2 linked regions of the Pelodiscus sinensis genome follow. The protein of the gene in region 2 interacts with the protein of the main gene of each other region in a biochemical or structural test. Links are inferred from orthologs where the notes say so. Each region holds a gene or a part of one and is shown on either strand. Other genes may lie near its edges. The genes, in order: MYCBP and AKAP1.

What was found.
Region 1: the proteins of AKAP1 (region 2) and MYCBP form a complex in vitro, tested with the Homo sapiens proteins (2 studies listed by BioGRID). The link is inferred for Pelodiscus sinensis from reciprocal best matches to the Homo sapiens genes AKAP1 and MYCBP.

What each region holds. Positions count from the first base shown.
Region 1 is NC_134735.1:11,658,533-11,668,857, forward strand, and holds the start of MYCBP (C-Myc-binding protein), read right to left. Parts: upstream 4,246-10,325; 5' UTR 4,025-4,245; coding exon 4,010-4,024; intron 3,913-4,009; coding exon 3,840-3,912; intron 438-3,839; coding exon 389-437; intron 1-388. Other genes in the region: GJA9 (gap junction alpha-9 protein), read right to left, coding at 9,879-10,325. UniProt on the Homo sapiens protein: May control the transcriptional activity of MYC. Stimulates the activation of E box-dependent transcription by MYC.
Region 2 is NC_134731.1:10,349,001-10,358,772, reverse strand, and holds the start of AKAP1 (A-kinase anchor protein 1, mitochondrial), read left to right. Parts: upstream 1-5,722; 5' UTR 5,723-5,880; intron 5,881-9,772.

The sequences.
Region 1 (10,325 bases), on a different chromosome or scaffold from region 2:
CAGCTGTACCACCAAGGGAGCAGCCAGCATGGGTAAGTATCCTCCTTGCCCTAACCACCTCCTCCCTTTGGCCACAGCACCAATGGGGGTAGGGGAGGAAGGGAATCAGAAAAATGCCACTGCCAGATGGAATCCCTTCCCTAAGCCCCTCTTGATTCCCCCAAACCTCACTCTTACACCTCCCTGCCCCATGCACTCCCCCTTTCCCCACCCCCACCCCCCCATAACCAGCCCCTGCCCTAAAGGATCCAGGCAACACCAGATAAGTCTACTAATATTAAATAAGTAAAAATATTTTGTTTACTTATAATTTGGAGACAAACTAGTATCCTTCTTGGACTAGGCTTCCATCTTTTGCCTCATCAATTCACAGGAAGAAAAAGGATACTCCAGTGCACTATTTGGTTTCTCTGGCTCTTCATAAAGGGCTACCAACACTGTAAGTAAAAAACATCCAACAGATGAAAGCAGAAACTTTCTAAACAGTTCAATTTATGAAGCACGTGCCAATAGTCAAAGGTAATTTGAGATGTAAAAAGGATTGCTTTCAGATTCGTGAAACATCACCTTTAGAATAAACATTAAAACAAAGCTAGCTTGTATTACAGTCAAAAATTAGGACAATGAACAAATATTAATGATCATGCAGAGTACTATTATTAATGATCATGCAGAGTACTATTAAGATGCATGTGCATCCACATAAGCTTGATTGCAGTTATATAACTGGAATTATTCTGAATAAGCTTTTTTCCAACAATTCTTTAATGAACCATAAAGCTAAGTATTTGCAATAATTTCTGAAAACAAACATTACAAGAACAGTGCTTTCAAGCAGTTATGTTCTAAAAACTGATCTAAATTTTTTAGTAAGAGTTCCTGGACACACATTCTCTACCCACTGAAGTAGCTGCCCACAATCACATCTGTGACTTGTCTTATAATGAAGGTAATTTAAGGCTATGGCTACACTATAGCTTAAATACCCAACAACATAAGTTATGTTGCTCAGCGGAGTAAAATAGCCACCCCCATGAACAACACAACCACTTCAAAAACGGAAGTTATATGAGCAGAAGAGCTTTTGCAGATATAGCTACCACTGCTTGCAAGGGCTGGAGTAATTAAGCCAATAGGAGACCTCTTCCCTAGACCTCTCTAGCATAGACAAAGTAGGGATGTAATAGTGTAGTCAACCAATAATCAGAAGCTTATAGGTTAATGCTATAGACTACACACCTTTTCCTCCTCACCCCCTTGCCAGTATATTTTTTAGCAGGCTGGCCAGCAGCCCGGCTCAGTCCTGGCTTGCAACATGTCCAGGCCCTACCAACTGAGGTGGCTCTGCATTTAAAGTGTATTTGTACGCAGACAGGCAGCCAAGATCAGTTCCAGCTTGCGCTGGGTCCAAGATCTCAGAGACAGCAGCACAGGGTGATGGGCAGCCGATCCACGAGGGGAGATGATTTTTAAACTGGCTCCCCCCACAGACCAGTTCCTGCCTGGCACCCCACAGAGGCAGCAGCAGCACTCCTTGGGAGTCTAGTCGGATTGCACTAGCTGCTAGCATCACCTCTATGAACTATAGAATAGTTGACTAATAAATAAGAATTCATGAAGTTACTCAACTATTCAATTAACCAATATTTAACATCCCTAAACCAAAGCCAGGGTCTCCTTTAATGAGTTTGGAAACTCAGTATTCTTCTCCATCACCAGGCCACCTTTACACTAAGGAGGAGGAAGGAGGAGTTGGAGGTGGAAACAAATTCCACAACCTGCTGCTTTGCTTCTAGAGTTGAAGCAAGAATCCTAAATAGTGTCTCAGGATCGTAGCTTGCACTTACAGTACAACATTTGGCTTCATCACGTTGTGCTCATCTCCAGGTGCACTCAGTATTACATTGAATATGATACTCAACTTGTACTTTGAACCAAAGACAGCCATGTGGCACAAACTTTGAAATATTCATTTTTTACTGCTTTGTGGACTGAATCCTCAAGTAGGGGTATGACTTTTGGTGGAGGCTATAGCTGCTTCCCTCCTCCCCCTCCACTTGCTCCATTCAACCAGTTAACCAAATGTGATTTTACATCCCTATCCTCAAGTGAACTTGAGCCAGCATTATGTTATGTTCTCCAGTGGATTAATTCATTCTTCGATTTCTGGATTTAGATGAAGCCAAAATGAATATGGCTTGTGTGTAATTTATAGGCTGAGGAAGTGAATATTCATATAATTACAAGACTAAAAATACAGAGAAATATTTAATTGCCTCTAATTCTTTGTATATTGTTTGACTTCCTTAGATTGTAAGCTATACCTGTGAAGAAATTTTAAGATTTTCTATGTTTAGCCCAATGTCATCCCAATCCATATATGGGGATTTGGGTACTTCCACAACAGTTTATAGCCAGAGCTGATAGTTAAGACCTATACGTAAGGTTGCTTAATAACTTCCATTAAGACCCTGCTTGTAGTTCATTTTCCAGTTTGCCCATTTGGACTGAAATTTTATATACATGCCCATGCCTCATGTTGAAGTTTTTTTGAAAGTTGTACCCAACAGTTCAGCTGTTTCCAAGAACGAAATTAAGGCAAAAATTTTGTTTTGCCCATGCTAAAAATTCTTACACCTATTTGATTAAGAAGCTATATTGCCTCTGCACTTAGCAGTACGGATGGCCTTGCTGTTAAGAGGTATGCCTTTTGCAATCCCTACTACAACCCTGCCCAAATTATAGAGATTCAAGAAATTGCTCAGGAGAAGGAGTTATGCTTTGTTGGCTAAATTTTTCCAAATTCAATGTGCTCTAAGCCTGCTCCATCTCTGAGTTGAAGACGGATCAGGACTTTCCTTGCAATTTCTCCTCTTAATTGCTGGGTGCCACAAGCAGTGCTGAGCACAGGAATCAAGAGCAAAGAAACTCTTCTGTGCTCTCAACTCTGCCCTGCTACATCCAGGCAACACAAAACTGATATGACTGAACGCTATACATACATTAGAGGAATAAACAGGACTTCTGCCTCGTTGGGGAATCAAACAGAACTTTGCAGTGAATGAGCTGTTCTGTACAAGAACCCTGCCTCCTTTGATATAGAGTAGCGATGGGCAACCTAGTGAATGGGCCGACTTGAGCATCCCTCCATCTCAGTGGACCACAAGATTGTCATAAGCAGCAAGGTGGTCTCCTGGGATAGGGTAGTGGTAACTAACAGTTTGCTAACTGTACTTGTGTACCAAGAATTCGTGGGGTGCACCAACTGAACAACATCAGCACTTTGCCTGGATGCATAGGGAGAGCAGGGCTCGCTCAGTCAGTGTTGTGTGCAGTCAGCAGGCACCTCACTCCGGGTACCTTTGCTGGAGGTGCATGGTGCTTCAGTAATAGTAGGAGGACTACTCCACAGATGGAAGCCAGGGGAACGCCACACAAGCACGACAAGAGGTCTCGTGGGCCACCCACAGAACCCAGACAGGCGACAGGCTCCCCACCCCTGTTGCAGCGGCCCAACAGCGTGCAGCAAGTCAGGCACAAGACTACAGGAAGAAGAAGGGAGTAAGTCTCAGGGTGCAGGATCTCCCGGAAGAACCGAATCGGATCCCTGCTTCTGCTGGGCGAGTCACTTGAGCCCCAACTCCCCGGGGGGGTTGGACCCGATGACCCCCCCCCCGCGAGTCTAGGGGCCCCCTAAGGGCGTGGCGGCGGGTCAGAGCTGTGGAAGCGGGGCGAGCCCTCGGCTACAGGGGGCGGGGCAGAGAAGGGCCCCGGGGGAGCGGACGGCGGGGGGGGGGGGGGAGCGCGAGGCCCCTGAGAAGGCGGCGCGGGCCCGTTACCTTTGGTGAGCGTGTCCAGCACGCCGGACTTCTCCAGGTAGCGGCGGAACTGCTCCCGCTTGGAGTCCGCGGCCTGCGGAAAGGAGGGGACAGCGTTAGCGGGGAGCAGCCAGCGGGGACACCCCGCCCCCGGCTCCCGCGGAGCCCGAAGAGCAGCCGCTGCCCCGCACCTTAAAGTGCGCCATCCCGGCCGAGACGCCGCCGCCGCTGCGCTAAGCGCGCATGCGCCCCGGGGGTTTTATGGGGGCGGGGAAGGCACGCCGCGTCCCATCTGTTCCTAGGGAGACGGGTGACGCTAGCACGCGGCCCCGCCCCGCCCCCAGCTTCTGTTCCGCGGCCTTGGCCCTCTCCGCCAGCTGTGTCTGCCGCCCGTTTGGCCGCTCGACCCGGCCCCTCCTCTCGCCTTCCCTCAGCCCCGCCCACCGCCTGGCCGCTCAGCCCGGCCCCTCCTCCCGCCTTCCCTCAGCTCCGCCCCCTGCCTGGCCGCTCAGCCCGGCCCCTCCTCCCGCCTTCCCTCAGCTCCGCCCAGCCTCTCAGCCTGGTCCCTCCTCCCGCCTTCCCGCAGCTCCGCCCCCTGCCCGGCTGCTCAGCCCGGCCCCTCCTCTCGCCTTCCCTCAGCTCCGCCCAGCCTCTCAGCCTGGTCCCTCCTCCCGCCTTCCCTCAGCTCCGCCCCCTGCCCGGCCGCTCAGCCCGGCCCCTCCTCCCGCCTTCCCTCAGCTCCGCCCAGCCTCTCAGTCTGGTCCCTCCTCCCGCCTTCCCGCAGCTCCGCCCCCTGCCTGGCCGCTCAGCCCGGCCCCTCCTCCCGCCTTCCCTCAGCTCCGCCCCCTGCCTGGCCGCTCAGCCCGGCCCCTCCTCCCGCCTTCCCTCTGGCCGCGCCCAGCCTCTCAGCCTGGTCCCTCCTCCCGCCTTCCCGCAGCTCCGCCCCCTGCCTGGCCGCTCAGCCCGGCCCCTCCTCCCGCCTTCCCGCAGCTCCGCCCCCTGCCTGGCCGCTCAGCCTGCCCCTCCTCCCGCCTTCCCTCTGGCCGCGCCCAGCCTCTCAGCCTGGTCCCTCCTCCCGCCTTCCCTCAGCTCCGCCCCCTGCCTGGCCGCTCAGCCTGCCCCTCCTCCCGCCTTCCCTCTGGCCCCGCCCAGCCTCTCAGCCCGGTCCCTCTTTCTACCTTCCCGCAGCTCCGCCCCACGCTTGGTCGCTCAGCCCGGCTTCCCTCTGGCCCCGCCCCCCGCCTGGCCCCTCTTTCTTTCCTCCCTCCCTCCCGGTGCCTCTCCCGCCTTCCCTCTGACCCCGCCCCCCGGCTGGTCCCTCAGCCCAGTCTAAATAATTGTTGGGGGGAGCCACAGCTGTGTGTCTCATTGATAAGGGGGGGGCGAACTCTATGAGCTTTCTCTGGCGACCTCTAGACTGGTATGATTTTCTGCAAATGCTTTTAACGGAAAAGTTTTCTGTTAAAAGTATTTTCGGAACAGAGCGTCTAGATTGGCAGGACGCTTTTCCGCAAAAGCACTTTTTGCGGACAAGCGTCCGTGGCCAATCTAGACGCGGTTTTGCGCAAGAAAGCCCCGATCGCCATTTTCGCCATTGGGGCTTTTTTGCGCAAAACAATACCACGTTGTCTACACTGTAGCAGCATAGCATTTCCGCAAGAAGCACTGATTTCAGACAGTAGGAAGTCAGTGTTCTTGTGGAAATTCAAGCGGCCAGTGTAGACAGCTAAATTTAAGCATGAATGACAATTCTGAAGCTTCTCTTTGAAGTCTGGAGTTAAAGTCTCTTTGAAGCAATATGCATGTTTTAAGGTCATTGAGGGAATGGTCAGTCTGGCTGAAATGGCAAGCAACAGCTTTCTCTTTGTGAGAAAGTCTTATGTCTGTTTTGTGTGCATTGATTCTTTGGCGAAGTGTCTGAGAAGTTTGTCCAATGAACATAGCAGATGGACACTTTAGGCACATGATGGCATAAATTATATTTCTGGATGAACAGGAATATGTATTCTTGATCTTGATCTTGTAATAGGCATGGTTAGAAGTAAGACAGATTGATTTGGGATGTGGATCCATGCGGGGCTGTGCTGGGTGCTGACGAGTCTGTGTTGTTCTCCAAGGGGGGCTGTTACCCAACTCTGTGCCTTTGCTGCTGGGGAGGAGGGGGAGGAACGGAGCTTCTGTCCCAGTAGGACAGGGTGGTGGGGCGCCCCAGAGGGCAGGTGGATGGGTTCAGTGGTACAATCAGCCCATCCTGTGAGTTTAGAGAGAATCTCTGATCCAAACCATAACAATCATCCCTATTGTACCATTTGGGAAATGAGGCACAGACAAATTAAGTGCCTTGAACAGGTCACACAGGAAATTGGTAGCTGAACAGGGGATTGGGTTCTCTCAATACCCTGACAACTGGCCCATTCTTCCGCTGTCCATGTCTGTGAGTGGGGTCTGCTGAACACAGTATTATCACCCCCAAAGGTAGCAGGTATCCCCTCATTTGCATAGGACTTAATGCTGCTTGCAGAGTGGTTATGTATAGGCACTGGGAACATGTGCTGTCAGAGAGTCGGTATGTTCAAAATAGCAGCAAAGTGGCTCTAACACTCTCCAGAACTTGGGGTCCTCATCCTGCCTCCATACCTCAGTCACCATAAGCCCCCAAGCTCCTTCCTTTTGAGAGGAAAGTTTGCAGAAAATTCTGTATAGTCAAATGCCTTTCTCTTCCTCAACTCCAAGCCCCAATGCCCCTTCTGCAGCTATTTTTATAGAAAGTTATGTTTTGGTTATAAATATTTAGTTAAAAATATAAATAACCAAAACATAAACTTTTCAAAGTTGAGAAGCACCCATCCATTAACTGCTTTTGGGAGCCTGCCTTAGCCCCACTGCACCACAGAACAGGAGCTGTGGGAGGTAAGCACTGGAGCCTTCACCCTGAACCTGCTGCTCTCTAACTCTCCCACAGCTCAAACTCCTATCCCAGCTCCAAGCCTGCTCATGAAGTCCACAACCCAACCCCCTACCCCCAGTCCTGAGCCCATTCCCATACCCAATCTCCCTCCTAGTGCCTGTACCCCACACTCCCTCTTGCACCCTCAATCCCTGCCCATCCCAGTTAAAGTGAGTGAGGGTGCAGGAGTGCCACCAACAGAGGCTGGGAATGGGACCTCAGAGAAGCGGAGGGGTAGGGCAAGGGCATTTGGTTTGTGCAGTTAGAAAGTTGGCAATCCTCGCATCTGAACTAGATAACTGTTCTCCATTCCTTCCAAACATACGTTTCTATAATCTTAAAGGCCTGATCAAAAGCCCATTGAGGGCAATGGAAAAGCTTTCATTGATTTCAATATGCTTTGGATCAGGTCTCACATATGGTTTCACATAGGGTGAAAAAAAAAAGTTCAACTTAATTATTTTGTATTACAAGACTTAAATGGAATGCTTTCCTCCTCTATAAAAGAAATTATTCCCTCATCCTCTATAAAAGAAATCATTCCCTCACAAACACAAAAGTAGATGAATTTTGACACCTGGCATGTAAATAATGTTCACTTTGATATCATAACCAGGTTTGCAGAATAATATGACTGAAATATTTCCACCACTATGGGGAATAAGTTTCAGCTGAGAGCATCATGCAAGGGGACCAAAGAATTATGCACACTCAAATACCTTTCAAAAAATAGTGCCTTACCTTCCATGTTTCCATTTGTAAAATGGGATAATTATACTTATCTCCTTGGTAAAGTGCTTCATGGCATACTGATGAAAAGCACTATATGACTACATCTACACTGCACCATAGTTAGAAAAAAGATGTTCAATTTGAGCTACGCAAATTGCGTCTCTTATTTCAATCTTATTTTGAAATAGCTTATTTCGTAATTTAGCACTGTCTGCATAGCACCAAATTTCAAAATAATCCGCTATTCCGAAATGTCCATTACTCCTCGTGGAATGAGTTTTACAGGGACTTCAGAATAGCGAGCCCAAAATAATGGGCTTGCTGTGAAGATGCGGGATAGTTATTTCGGAATACTCCAGTATCCTGAAATAGCGTTGCAATGTAGATGCAGCCTATAAGATCTAGGAATCATTAGCAGGGATGTAAAAATAACAAACCCATTGTTTGTATAGTTGTGTCTTACAAAAGATTCTGTTGCCTTCTGCCATATTGTGCAAATTCTTAAGTTTTAATTTTAGCTAAATTTCATGTTTGTTTTTCCTTTTCAAAGATACTGTGTGCAGTCATTACTATGTGAGTCATACATTCTCCCGAAAGAAGCAGCAGGCTGTAAACTCTTTGACAGACTTCTGCACAATTCAGTGAATTGAGATGAGAGCTTCAAACCCCAATTGGGACTATTTAAAAAGTAACATTATGGCTACTAATGTATTATTTATACAGCGCAAAAAGGAGTGCACTAAGCATAGTTATTTTTTTCTTTAAAAACACATTATTGCAAATTTAAGTATACCCAATTAAAATTTTAAATCAGAAAATGAAAAAGTTAAGATTACTACATGACTGTTAACTCAAACATATTGCCCTTTTTGTCTTTAATAAGGTAGTCATTTAGCAATATCAACACAATAATATACAAATATGTATTTACCTCAGATGCTAAAGTGATAGGTACCAAAGAAAAAAAACTAAGATTTAACAAGGTAGTCAAGAATGGTTAAAACTTCAGCATGTACAACATGATTAATGCTAAAAGATAAATGACTGTTCCATTTCCTACCTTTTGTTTTTTGTTATTGTTTTAACCTTTATGTGGCACTATCAGTGATGCAAATGCTGCTCAAACATGGGAATTTGATTCAGGGAGGCACTGAAGAAAGCATGTATTGTCAGTTCTAAGAGTGGGTGAGCAAAGCAATCACTCTGGGCACCAATTTTCCTGCAGGCTGTGTCATCACTTAGCTTTTCTGGTTTTGGGGAGAGGGGAGTTTGTTTTTTGTGCTCTGCTGTTTAGTCAGAGAGAGGGCTGAAAATATTTCCACTCTTGCCAGCTAAGCAGCTCAGGCTACTCCTGGGAGCCTACAGGCTACGTGGCATAGTCCTCACTTCTCCCCAGCCTCACATAAACACTTTTGTATTTCACAGGTTCTTCATGGAATTTGGACTGCACCGATCTAGAAAGGGGGTAGTAATTGTCCATTCTTTTCAGTATTTCCTCCCTAAAATAAAACACATATATCATATAAAACTATGTGAAACCCCACTACAGTGCTATTCAGGGGCAAATGCAGCAAGCGAGGCCCAGTCAGCACAGTTCCTCTGTCATGGAGCTATGTGGAAGTGAGGATGAAAAAAAGGTAATGAAGAGGCACAAGGTCTCCACACACATACATAACTCTCACTCCCTCAAAAAAAAAAGTCTGTTTAGATTGCAGTGATCCATTGATCTGAGGCTTGCCTTACATGGACTTGATACAGGAATTACTGGGTTAAATTAAAAGTGACTGTTTGATTTAGGAACAGGAAAGATAATGGAGATATTAGATCTATTCGATTTTAAGTCATCTTTTTATTACGCGAAAGTAGAACCAATTTCTTATTTCACGAGTGTTTATCAACTACTGCACAAGAGCGCACAGTTCTTTGCATTACCTCAGTAGGAGTACGTCTACACAGCAGGGCAAAAGTCGAATTAAGCTACAGAACCTCAGCTACGTCAATTCTGTAGCTTAAGTCAAAATAGCTTAATTTAGCTTTTGGCGCTGTGTACGCAGCAGGAAGTCGAAGGAGGAACACTTTTCCTTCAACTTCCCTTACTCCTCTGAAATGAGGGTTACCAGGAGTCAGAGTAAGAAGTCCTCCAGCTCAACATTATTTCGAAATAAAGGCTTGTAGTGAAGATGAGCACTATGTTATTTTGGAATAACGTCAATTATTCCCAAATAACACTGCTGTGGAGACATACTCCAAAAGAGCTGGAGAAAAATGATTGACTTAGCTACAATGACAAAAAGCTACAACTCACGCTACAGGGGTGTCCAGTAATGCCTCTATTTCCTTCAGTGCTCATGCATGTAACACACAGGTAAGGTAACAAACACTTAGATCTGAAGATCGGTGGGGGCACGCCTGCTGCTGGCATTACTTGCCAGTGACATTCGCCGTGAGGGAGAGAGAGCCTGAGGACTTTCACAATTTCTGCCCTGTTTGGATTCTGAACTTAGTTCGCCTAGGGAGTCAGGAGTGTCTGGTCTGCTGATTTTTCTTAAGTCAGTGCTGGAAAGGCCTTGTGCTATGCTTCCACTGAAGCTGTCTTGTCCTCGGTTGCTGTTTGTGGAAGGAGACTCTGTTGGTGACCCTTCACTCTCAACCACTGTAGAACAGTTCCATGGGGAACTGACTCCACGTAGCTTTCGAACACAGTTAACTGAAATAGTGGAAGTCATATCAGGTTGCAATGAACTTCCAGATGTTAATTCAGACAGGCTTCCCAAGCACAGACCCGGAGCAGCAACTAGATTAGAATGCATGCCATGTTTCTTTTCATC
Region 2 (9,772 bases):
GGCCTGTGACAAAGCCCTGGCTGCGATGATTGAGTTGGGTTGGTCCTGCTTTGGGCAAGGGGCTGGACTCGTTGACTCCTGAGGTCTCTTCCAGCCCTGGGATTCTATGAATGAGCAGGAATCCAACGTACAGTTCATATATATGGCCGTTCTCAGGACCGCTCAGCTCACACCCTGTATCCTCTTTCCCTAGCACACCAGCGTATGGTGCAAACTTCTCAACTGCTTAGATCTTGACAGCTTCTTCCCCTCCTCGTGGCACTTCTAGCCTTGCACATGTCAGTGTGTAAATACACCCCTGGGCGGGAATGCTTCCTGTGCTATAAGACTGTGCCTTGATTGTAAAGGGGAATTGGAACTATGGCATCAGGCCTGCCAATGGGGGGCGGGGGCGGGATGGAGGCAACTGCCCCAGGGCCCATTGATTCAATGGGCGGCTACTGTAGCAATGGTGGTGGCTGGAGCCCTGGGCCCTTTAAATTGCCACCGGAGCCCCACGCTGCACGCTCTGGTGGTGCTGAGGGCTGGTTGTGCTCCATCCCTCCCTTTCCACCTGAGGCCCCACCCCTTCTGGGAGCACAGAGCCGTGCCCCCCGCATCATCCCAAGGGGCCTGGCAATTCTCTCAGCTTCCCCCCCTTCCCCCGCACATGGCACCAGCTTTGCTGTGTAAATATTATTCTGGTTTTTCTGCACTTCTCACCATTCCTTTTTAGCGTGGCACCGATAAGATCACAGCTGGTAAATGTGCAGCACAGCTGCAAGCAACATTTGATCCATCACTCCTGCCTGCGTGACAGAGCCGCCACTAACAAAAACTGATGGATTAATCCCCACAGTAACCCTAAGGTATTGTTGTTGTTGCTGGTACTGTTATGTCCATTTTACGGCTGGGAGAACCGAGCTGTGCCTGAGGCTGCAGTGGGATTAATAGCTGCATTCATGGTCTGGAAGGCCATAAAGGTCTACTGTGGTCATCTAGTCTGACATCGCGTGTAGCACATGCCAAAGAACACCCCCCAGGAGTTGATGCATCAACCCCATAACTCTGCTTGAACTAGGGTGTTTATTGGAAAAAGAGATCCCATCTTGACTGAGAGACTTCAAGTGATGAAGAATCCACCACCAACATGGGGAGTGATTGATGGCACTGGGCTTAGTCTTCCTAACTCTGAGACTGTTTTCCTCCCCATGAAAAAGTCTGTACAAATAAAAGGTCTTTATTTTACACTTGTTACTGATTCAGAGCAATGGAAACAGACCAACCTTAGATTGAAAAAAACCCCCACAAATGCATGTGGCAATATTAATAATACTTAATTTTTAATGTAGCACTTTTCATCCCTGAATCACAGAAAAGTGAGATCTCTGTGCCTGTTTTACAATTAAGGAAACTGAGGCACGAAGCGGAAAAGTGACTTGCCCAAGGTCACACAGCAGGCTAGGGGCAGAGTAACATAAGAACCCAGGACTCCTGAGTCCAGGTCATGTGTTAGCTTTTGGACCACATTGTCTTCTACACTGTAACATAAAGAATTACCTACAGTGCTAAACTGGCTTATTGTAATAATTGATACATATTTCTCCTACTGAAAGTATTTTACAACCGCCGCTTACTTACTATTCAAAGGTAACCTTCTCTATGGTGAAATGGGCAACTGGTTAACAGTGCAATGTAACACAATCCAATGGGTCAAAAAAGGAAATGTATAAAATTTCCCATTAAAACAGAGGGCCTACCAAACTGGCAAGCAATAACTTTGCTAAAGATGGATTCTCCTTTAAGTTTTCCATCCCCATACTGATTCAGCCATAGCCTGCCATGTTCAGTGGCTGTAGTTGCTTGCTAATGTGTCTCTTAGTTTCACTTTTACAATGCTTATTGAAAAATGTGTACTTAGTCTGCAGAAAGTAAGTGTAAAGGGAGGATTTGGTACCAGCCTTCCACTACCTGTCCAGGAGGTTCCAAAGAGGATGGAGCCAGGTTGCTCTCAATGGTGATAGATGACAGAACTTGAGCAATGGTCTCAAGTTACAGTGAGGGAGGTCTAGGTTGGATATTGGGAAAAACTATTTCCCTAGGAGGGTGGGGAAGCACTGGGATGGGTTACCTAGAGAGGTGGTGGAATCTCCATCCCTAGAGGTTTTTAAGGCTTGACAAAGTCCTGTCTGGGGTGATTTAGTTGGGATTGGTTAAGCAGGGAGTTGGCCCTAGCTCTGATGCCCTATGCAGCCACCGTCCCTGAGGAGCAATGCAGGGCCAGGAGCTGTGGGAAGTAGACCCAGAGCTGTGGGGGCAGGAGCAAGGCAGGTTGGCAGCAAGAGTCATACCTGTTCCAGGCAGCACTCACCTGCAGCAACAGAGTGGAGCAACCCAGCCCCAGCCTCGTTATTTGGGTGAAGGGGTGGGAGGAGATGCAGCAGCGGTGGGAAGAGGCAGGTTGGGGCAGAGCAGGGGGCACTTAGGGAAGGGGTAGAGTGTGGTTGGAGCTGGAATGAGGTGAAGTGAGGTCGGGGGGTGTCCCAGGCTCCACACTCCTTATAGAGATGGCCCTACTGGGCACAGCCTATGGTGGGGGCCCTGGCTGCTGGAGCCCATACCTGCCTAGGGCACCATGAAATTTGGTGCAATTTGGTGCATATTTTGCATAGTGGTAGGAACGGCCTTGGTTGGACTAAGGTCTCCTGAGGTCTCTTCCAACCCTAATCGTCTAAGATTCCATAATGGCGTTGAGTTGTCACTGGCTGCTTGTTTGAACGGCACATTTAACGGTTTGATTTCTTTAGGTGATTGAACTGTGCCGCCTGTGTAGCACCGAGTATTTGAACACAGATAAACAAATTAATTAACATGAAGGGAAACACAAGGAGACAGTGAGCCATTTTTAGCTCTTCCAAGGAAGTGACTCAGATACCAGTGATGACTGAAGAAGGAGGCTTTGAGGAGGATGCCCGGACACTGTGAGGTACCTCGGACAGAAAGATTTAAACAGAGGAGCATATGTCCAGTTGTTAAAGGAGACTGAATCAGCGAATCCACCAGCCCAGAAGAGGACATGAAGTGAAGTGTTCTTTCCAAACTGGAGATGGGTGGGGGGGGAAAGGATGGGAGCTCCTTTATTTTGATACCCTCTGAATATTCCTGCTAGTCAGGGTGTCATGTGCACTAGGGCAAAGTGGATTATTGTAATAACCTCGCCAACTGTGCAGTGAAAGGCTACGTCTACACGATGAGTTTTCTTGGCAAAAAATATGCTAATGAGGGACTCATTTGCATGAGTCATTATCTCATTTGCATATTTTCTGCCAATCCGTTTTTGCGCTGAGGTTTTTGCACAAAAACAAGCAGTGTGGACATTTTTTGTGCAAAACCCCCACAAGATCCTTATGCCCCCCAAAAGGAGGTATACTGATAGCATATTTTTTGCCAAGAAAACTCGTAGTGTAGACGTAGCCTCAGAGCGCACACTAGCGTCCAAGTTCCCTCCAAGTCAGGGGTCTCAATCTCAATTTACCTTAGGGCCAGTGCCAGGCCTCAAATTCTCCTAGTGTGCACTTCTCTGACAGGGCTCTGAGTGGGGGGGAGTGTCTCCTCGTGTTCACCCCCACACACACATCTCCTAGCCCTGCCTGCCAGCCCAGGCACTCCCCTCTCCCCCCCCCCCGGTGTGTCCCCCAACCCCACTTGCTGCCCCCAAGTGATTTTAACATCCCACCAGGGACTCCCAGCACCACCCCCAGTAGGGCAAGAGCAGGTTCCAGTCACGAGCTCTGCCCCACATCCCTGTGTCCCGGGGGAGGTGTGTGCAGAACCATCCATAGGATGGTTGGGCATGGTCACTTTGGGGAGCCCGGCCGTGGCCACCCCAACCTATGAATGGGATGGTTCCCCATTCTCGGGTGAGGCGCTCTGCTTCCTGCCGCCGCTGGCCTGGGGGATGGCAGCGGAGCAGAGCCGAGGCTGCTGCGTCGCTCCACTTCCCCGCAGCTCCTGTTGCCATGGTGAGTGCGGGGGGCCCAATCCCTGCTGCTACCCCACGCCAGGCCTCCTGTGATCCCCGAGGCCCCGTTCCTTAGGGGAGGAGGTTGGGGGAGAAGGAGCAAGGGTGGGAAGAGGCCTCGTGGGGGGTGAAGCAGAGACTGGACTTGAGGGAAAGGCTTGGACATTCTCCTCAGGGCTGCAGGGACTCACGTGCCAGCAGCCGTGTGAGGGCCAGGCCGTGGTACTGCTCGGGCCCCTGGGCCGTGAGTCCGAGCCCCCTGTTCTAAGCTGTGCAGCTGCCTATTAAATGACACACGGACATTCGCCTCGGACCTGCTGCTATACCCCTTCCCCAGCCCTGCCATGGCAGGTGTGTGTGTAGGGCAACAGGTGCCCCTCCACCGACTCCACCCCTACTGTAGCCAGGGGACAGGCACCCTGACCATGACCCAGCCCAAACCTGTTGTAGCCAGGGGAGGGGTCCCCTCCTCCCCGTCAGCCCCAGTCCTGCTACAAGGAGAGTTAGAGAGTGTGTGTGTCTTTACTCCCCACTGTAGCCTCAGGGCAGCCTGCACCCCAAACCTCTTCTCCCTAGCACCACTCAGCCTGCACCCTGAGCCAGAACCCTCCCCCCTGCACTCCAGTCCTCTGCCCCAGCCCTTCGTCCCTGGCTCCACCTTGAATCCATAACCCTCCCCCCCCCACCACCCCGGCCAGAGCCATCACATTCCCCTCAACCAACATGCTGAATGCCTATTAAATGCCCCCCCCCCCCCCCCCCCGCCACAGGAATATTTTTAAGTGCACCAATATGGAGACGATGTGTCACACCATATTGGTGCACATAACAAAATTCATTCCTCATGTGGGTGTGAAAAATGAGAGGGAACACTTAGAGTGTCCACCCAGCCATCCGGCTGGGGCTAATTCCCAGCTCAAGGAGACGGACTGCTGCTGTCCTCCAGCTACTGCACTCAAAATAGAACATAGCCCTGGTCTGCCCTGGCAGCACCAGCTGTGGGATGGTCACGGGTCTCCCCAGGGCACATAGTACTTGAGAGGCTCAGGAGCTCAGCCCAGGGGTCTGGGTGAGTGATGGGGGGAGAAGAAGGGAGGTGTATATTGCCAAGATCTGGTGCCAGAGTGGGGCATAAATTTCAGAACTCACGATGCAACTGGCACCCCCCTCTTCAGCTTGGTTTCTATCATATGCACCAGGGGTGGGGAATCTTTTTTGGGTCGAGGGGGCGGGGGCTGACCCACAGAAAAATCAGTCGGGGGCCACACACAAGTGAAAAGTGAAGCGGGTGCCACCCAGCTGGTGAGCAGAGCACCCACAACGACCCGCAGCCAGCAGCATGTTGTTACTACTTGTAGTGCACATCCACGCGTGCCCTGGTGCACAGAACAAAATTTATTCCACGCATGGATTGGAAACAACTCAGAGGGCACATTGGTGGGAGATCGGGGCAAGGGATGGGGGGTTCAGAGGGGCAGGTCAGGGGTGGGGGCGGGGCGGAAGGTGAGGAGGGGCAGAGGGTGGGGGCCGGGTGCAGGAGCACAGACTCCACGTGCTCTCCCCTGTGCTGTACCCTTGGGGGAAAGGCGTGTCCCACAGGCGCATGCGCAGCTGCTTCCCGCTCCCCCTCCCCCACCGCCGCCAAGTAAGTCGGGGCCGGCTGAATGGCACTCGCCGGCAGGTCTCGCGAGATGTGGCTGCCTCGCGCCGGGGGGCGGGGCGTGCGGGCCTTAGTGTAGCGGTTGAATGTCTCAGTGTTCGGACGGGCCCGGTCGGGCAGCACGTGGGGGCAGCGCGGCTGGCGGGGAGCGGCCGGGGTGGGGGCAGGGCACGGCGCGCACGAGGGCTCTGCACCGGGGGCGGCGAGCACCGGACGGATCGTGAGTACCGGGGCCGGGCCGCGTTCCCCGGGGGGGCGGCAGCCGGGCGTGGAGCCGCCGCCTTGTGTGGGCTGAGCGCCGGGGAGCAGGCGCCAGCGTGGTAGGGCAGCTGTCAGCTCTCGAGGGGCAGCCCCCTCCCCCCTGCGCCGTGTGCTGCCCGGCTGCTACCCCCGCCCGCCCGGGGTCACCCCTGCCCCCTGTGCTGCCAGACTGCCAGCCCCCCCTCGCCCGCCCGGGGTCACCCCTGCCCCCTGGGCTGCCAGACTGCCAGCCCCCCCTCGCCCGCCCGGGGTCACCCCTGCCCCCTGTGCTGCCAGACTGCCAGCCCCCCCTCGCCCGCCCGGGGTCACCCCTGCCCCCTGGGCTGCCAGACTGCCAGCCCCCCCTCGCCCGCCCGGGGTCACCCCTGCCCCCTGGGCTGCCAGACTGCCAGCCCCCCCTCGCCCGCCCGGGGTCATCCCTGCCCCCTGTGCTGCCAGACTGCCAGCCCCCCCCTTGCCCGCCCGGGGTCACCCCTGCCCCCTGGGCTGCCAGACTGCCAGCCCCCCCCTTGCCCGCCCGGGGTCACCCCTGCCCCCTGGGCTGCCAGACTGCCAGCCCCCCCTTGCCCGCCCGGGGTCACCCCTGCCCCCTGGGCTGCCAGACTGCCCACGTGGTGTCACCCCAGCCCTCCCCCTTACCCGCCTGGGGTCACCCCTGCCCCGTGTGCTGCTTGACTGCCCACGTGATGTCACCCCCGCGCCCCCCCCCTTGCTCGCCGGGGTCACCCCAGCCACGTGTGCTGCCAAACAGACTGCCCACCCCTGCCTGGAGTCACCTTTTCCCTGCTGCCCTGGGTGGTGCGACAAGATAGCCCCTTTGTCTTTGCTGCCTCATGTGCTGTCAGACTTTCCCTTCCCTTCTGCCCTGGGGCTGGCTCCTATCCAGCTGCCCTTTCTTAACTCCCCTCTCCCTGTCTGATTCTGCTGTGTACCTCCCCACTCCTAGGAGTGCAGCCCCCTGGAGCTCCAGGCACTGGCTTGTTGCTCATGTGTCCCTTGTTGGTTTGGGGAACTTTTTCCCCACTCGCTTCTTGGCAGAGGTGCGATCAGCCCAGTATGGCCAGCGTGGTGCTTGTCATGGAATTACAGGACTGGAAGGAACCTTGGGAGGTCATTGAGAGGCCATTGAATGGTTCTTTTGCCCCATTTGTATCCCCTTTCCTAACTATCTGTAGCAGGTAGTGGCTTTGCTACTGTGAATGGGATAGCGTGCACAGTATACTGGTGCTGTGAGTTAATGGCACAGTATGTGTCCCGCTTAGGCAGCAAGTCTGGCATTGTTGTGCCAAGGGTGTATTATTAAGAGTCTTTTCTTTACCCTAAGAGGGTGATGGTGGTGTCAGCTTTGAACAGTCACAAGGTTGTGTGTGTAGTGACTCCCTGACCCTTGATACGGAGGCACCTATTAGTGGGATTGCAAACCTGCAACAGGGCTGGCTGTGCCACTTGAAAAGAGTATGAGATGAGCTGTCCTTTATCTCTGGCAGTTAGAAGGTGTCAAGATGCTTTCTGTCCTGTTGGCATTTGCAGAGAAATGACCTGAGCTGCTTTTTCTCAAGGTCACTCACACTCCTATGGATTTATTCTTTTAAAGGTCATGTATACCCAGACTGAACAGGTAGTGTGCTGCAGGAAGCAACCTGAGCACCACATCAGGCCTAGCTCGAGGAGGGCTGGGGAGTTTGCTTCTTGTTCTAACAACTAGCATAGGTCACCGCTTTCTGCTCCGGAGCTGGTGGGTGAAATGGGAACTTCACCCATCTTCGTGCTGCCAAGTCTGTACACTTGGCTCATGCTCCTTTGAGCTCAGATCACCTCCCTGTACTTGTTTCAACTAGAAAAGAAGTGCTTCTGGGCCTCTGGGTGCAGCCTTATTTAGTGAAAGTGAGTGACGGGGCAGGCATGTACCTGCTGCTGTTGCCGATGTGACATGGCAAACTAACCCACGCTGTCTGGCTTGATGGCGCTTACATGAGACGAGCTAATCAGTGTGCAATCTCAGTCAGGTCTTGTTCAGCGTGGCTTTGATGGCTCTTGAACCGCGGCTTTTGGACTTGCCCCTTGGAGAAAAAGAAGCCAGTCTTCCCTCCTAAGAGTTGCAGTGTTTGAGACATGCAGTAGCCCAGAGCAGGCAGAGTTGCTTTCCACGGAAAGTCCCTCCCTCAATAAAAACCCCTCAAAGCCCAACGTTCTTTAAACCGATTAAGGCCAAAAAGAAACCAGCAATGAAATCCTGACCCCGTTGAAGTTGGTGATAAAATTCCCATTGGATTCCACAGTCAGGATTTACCCTCTTGTCTGCTTGAACTGATCCATAGGTGAGCAAATTAAGTGAAGACTCTTTTAAACCATTGCAGAGCTCTTACAACTCGTTAAAAGGCAGCTGGAAGACTGGTCTAAATTACATTAGCCGCTCAGCTGTAAAATTAATGGGTAGGTAGATGAGAATCAGTTGGTGTCAGTTGTTGTATATGCTGATTCAGAGTTTCCTACCAGTGTGTAGATCTATTTCTGTAATAGAAAGTGAATCTGTAATTTTTCAATATCTGTGTGTGTTAGCCACTATCTAACTGTCTTAACTCCACTGAAGTCTTAGCTCTCGATGTTTTGTTGGGGAAATACTAGCTGTTGGCTCTCAGAAATACGCTGTTGGGCAGACTGACAGTCTGTGGTTGATGTGATTTCAGGTTCGTTGGGAGCTGTGTTGCAACAATTTAAAACCGAAAGTGAGGGTTGACGTAAGTATTAGTTGTGGAATTGCTAGTGTAGTCTAGCCTATCTCTTCTGTTTGTACAGCACCTAGCATAATGGGGCCCTCCAGGCGCTACCAGAGAGTAAACAAACTATAATTAGCTGACTCTTCTCTCACTTGTGCAATCTAATGTTTATAAGTCTAATATATAGCTAGAGGATGCAGCGAGCAAGGGAGGAATTATGTTGTAGCATAATCCAGCAGTATTTTATTAGCCTGCGTGCCGTGTTTCTTTCAACTCAAGTAAAAAATGTGAATGGGAGTTTTTCCAGTATCTTCATGAGCTTTGAACAAGTAGACTTGTGCCTGGAATGGTAAACAATCATGGCAGTTTTGCTAGGAGGCAGCTGCCATTCTCCATAGAGAACACAGGGTATCTGTAGGATGTATAATAGGGGAGTCTCTATCTTACTGCCCCCACTTCACTGGACACCTTTACAGCAACCAATCCATAGTACTATGAAATAGTAAAGGATAGGTGCGCTGTACCACAGGTCATATTGTTAAGGAAGAGTCAAGGACAGCTGAACAAAAGTGACTTACATGCTTTTGACTTTGTGTATCTAGGGCTTGGGTGACTTATGCTGCTGCTCCAACACCTACCAGGTGTTATCAGAATGCTGTGAACTTTGTCTTAGGGGAAAAGAAAGGACTTGTGGCTGAGGAAGGTGGTAGCAAGAGTCGCTAACTTCACGTTTCTCCTGTTTGTTTTGTGCCGGTGAATGATCTACAGAGTTACAGCCAGGCAAGTGCCCAGAGTGGAATGGGAAAGAAAGCATATGACTTGGCAGAGCTTGGCACGGTGACTGCAGGATGATAGCTGGGAATTCTGAGGACCTGGCTGCAGCATTGCCCATCTTGTAGTGTTGGAGAGCCTGTATTGCATATGTTTCGTATTGCAATGGAAAGGTTTTTTCTATTGCTGTGGATAATCCCCCTCCCCAAGTGGCAATGGAGTTCTTCCATCGAACTAGCTGCGCTACGTCAGGGGGATTGTGTTTTCACACCCCTAGCGCTGTAGCTATTTTGACCTAACTTTTAAATATAGGCCAGGCCATAGTTCTGTTCACAGCTCTGTCACTTGGTCACTGTGATCCTT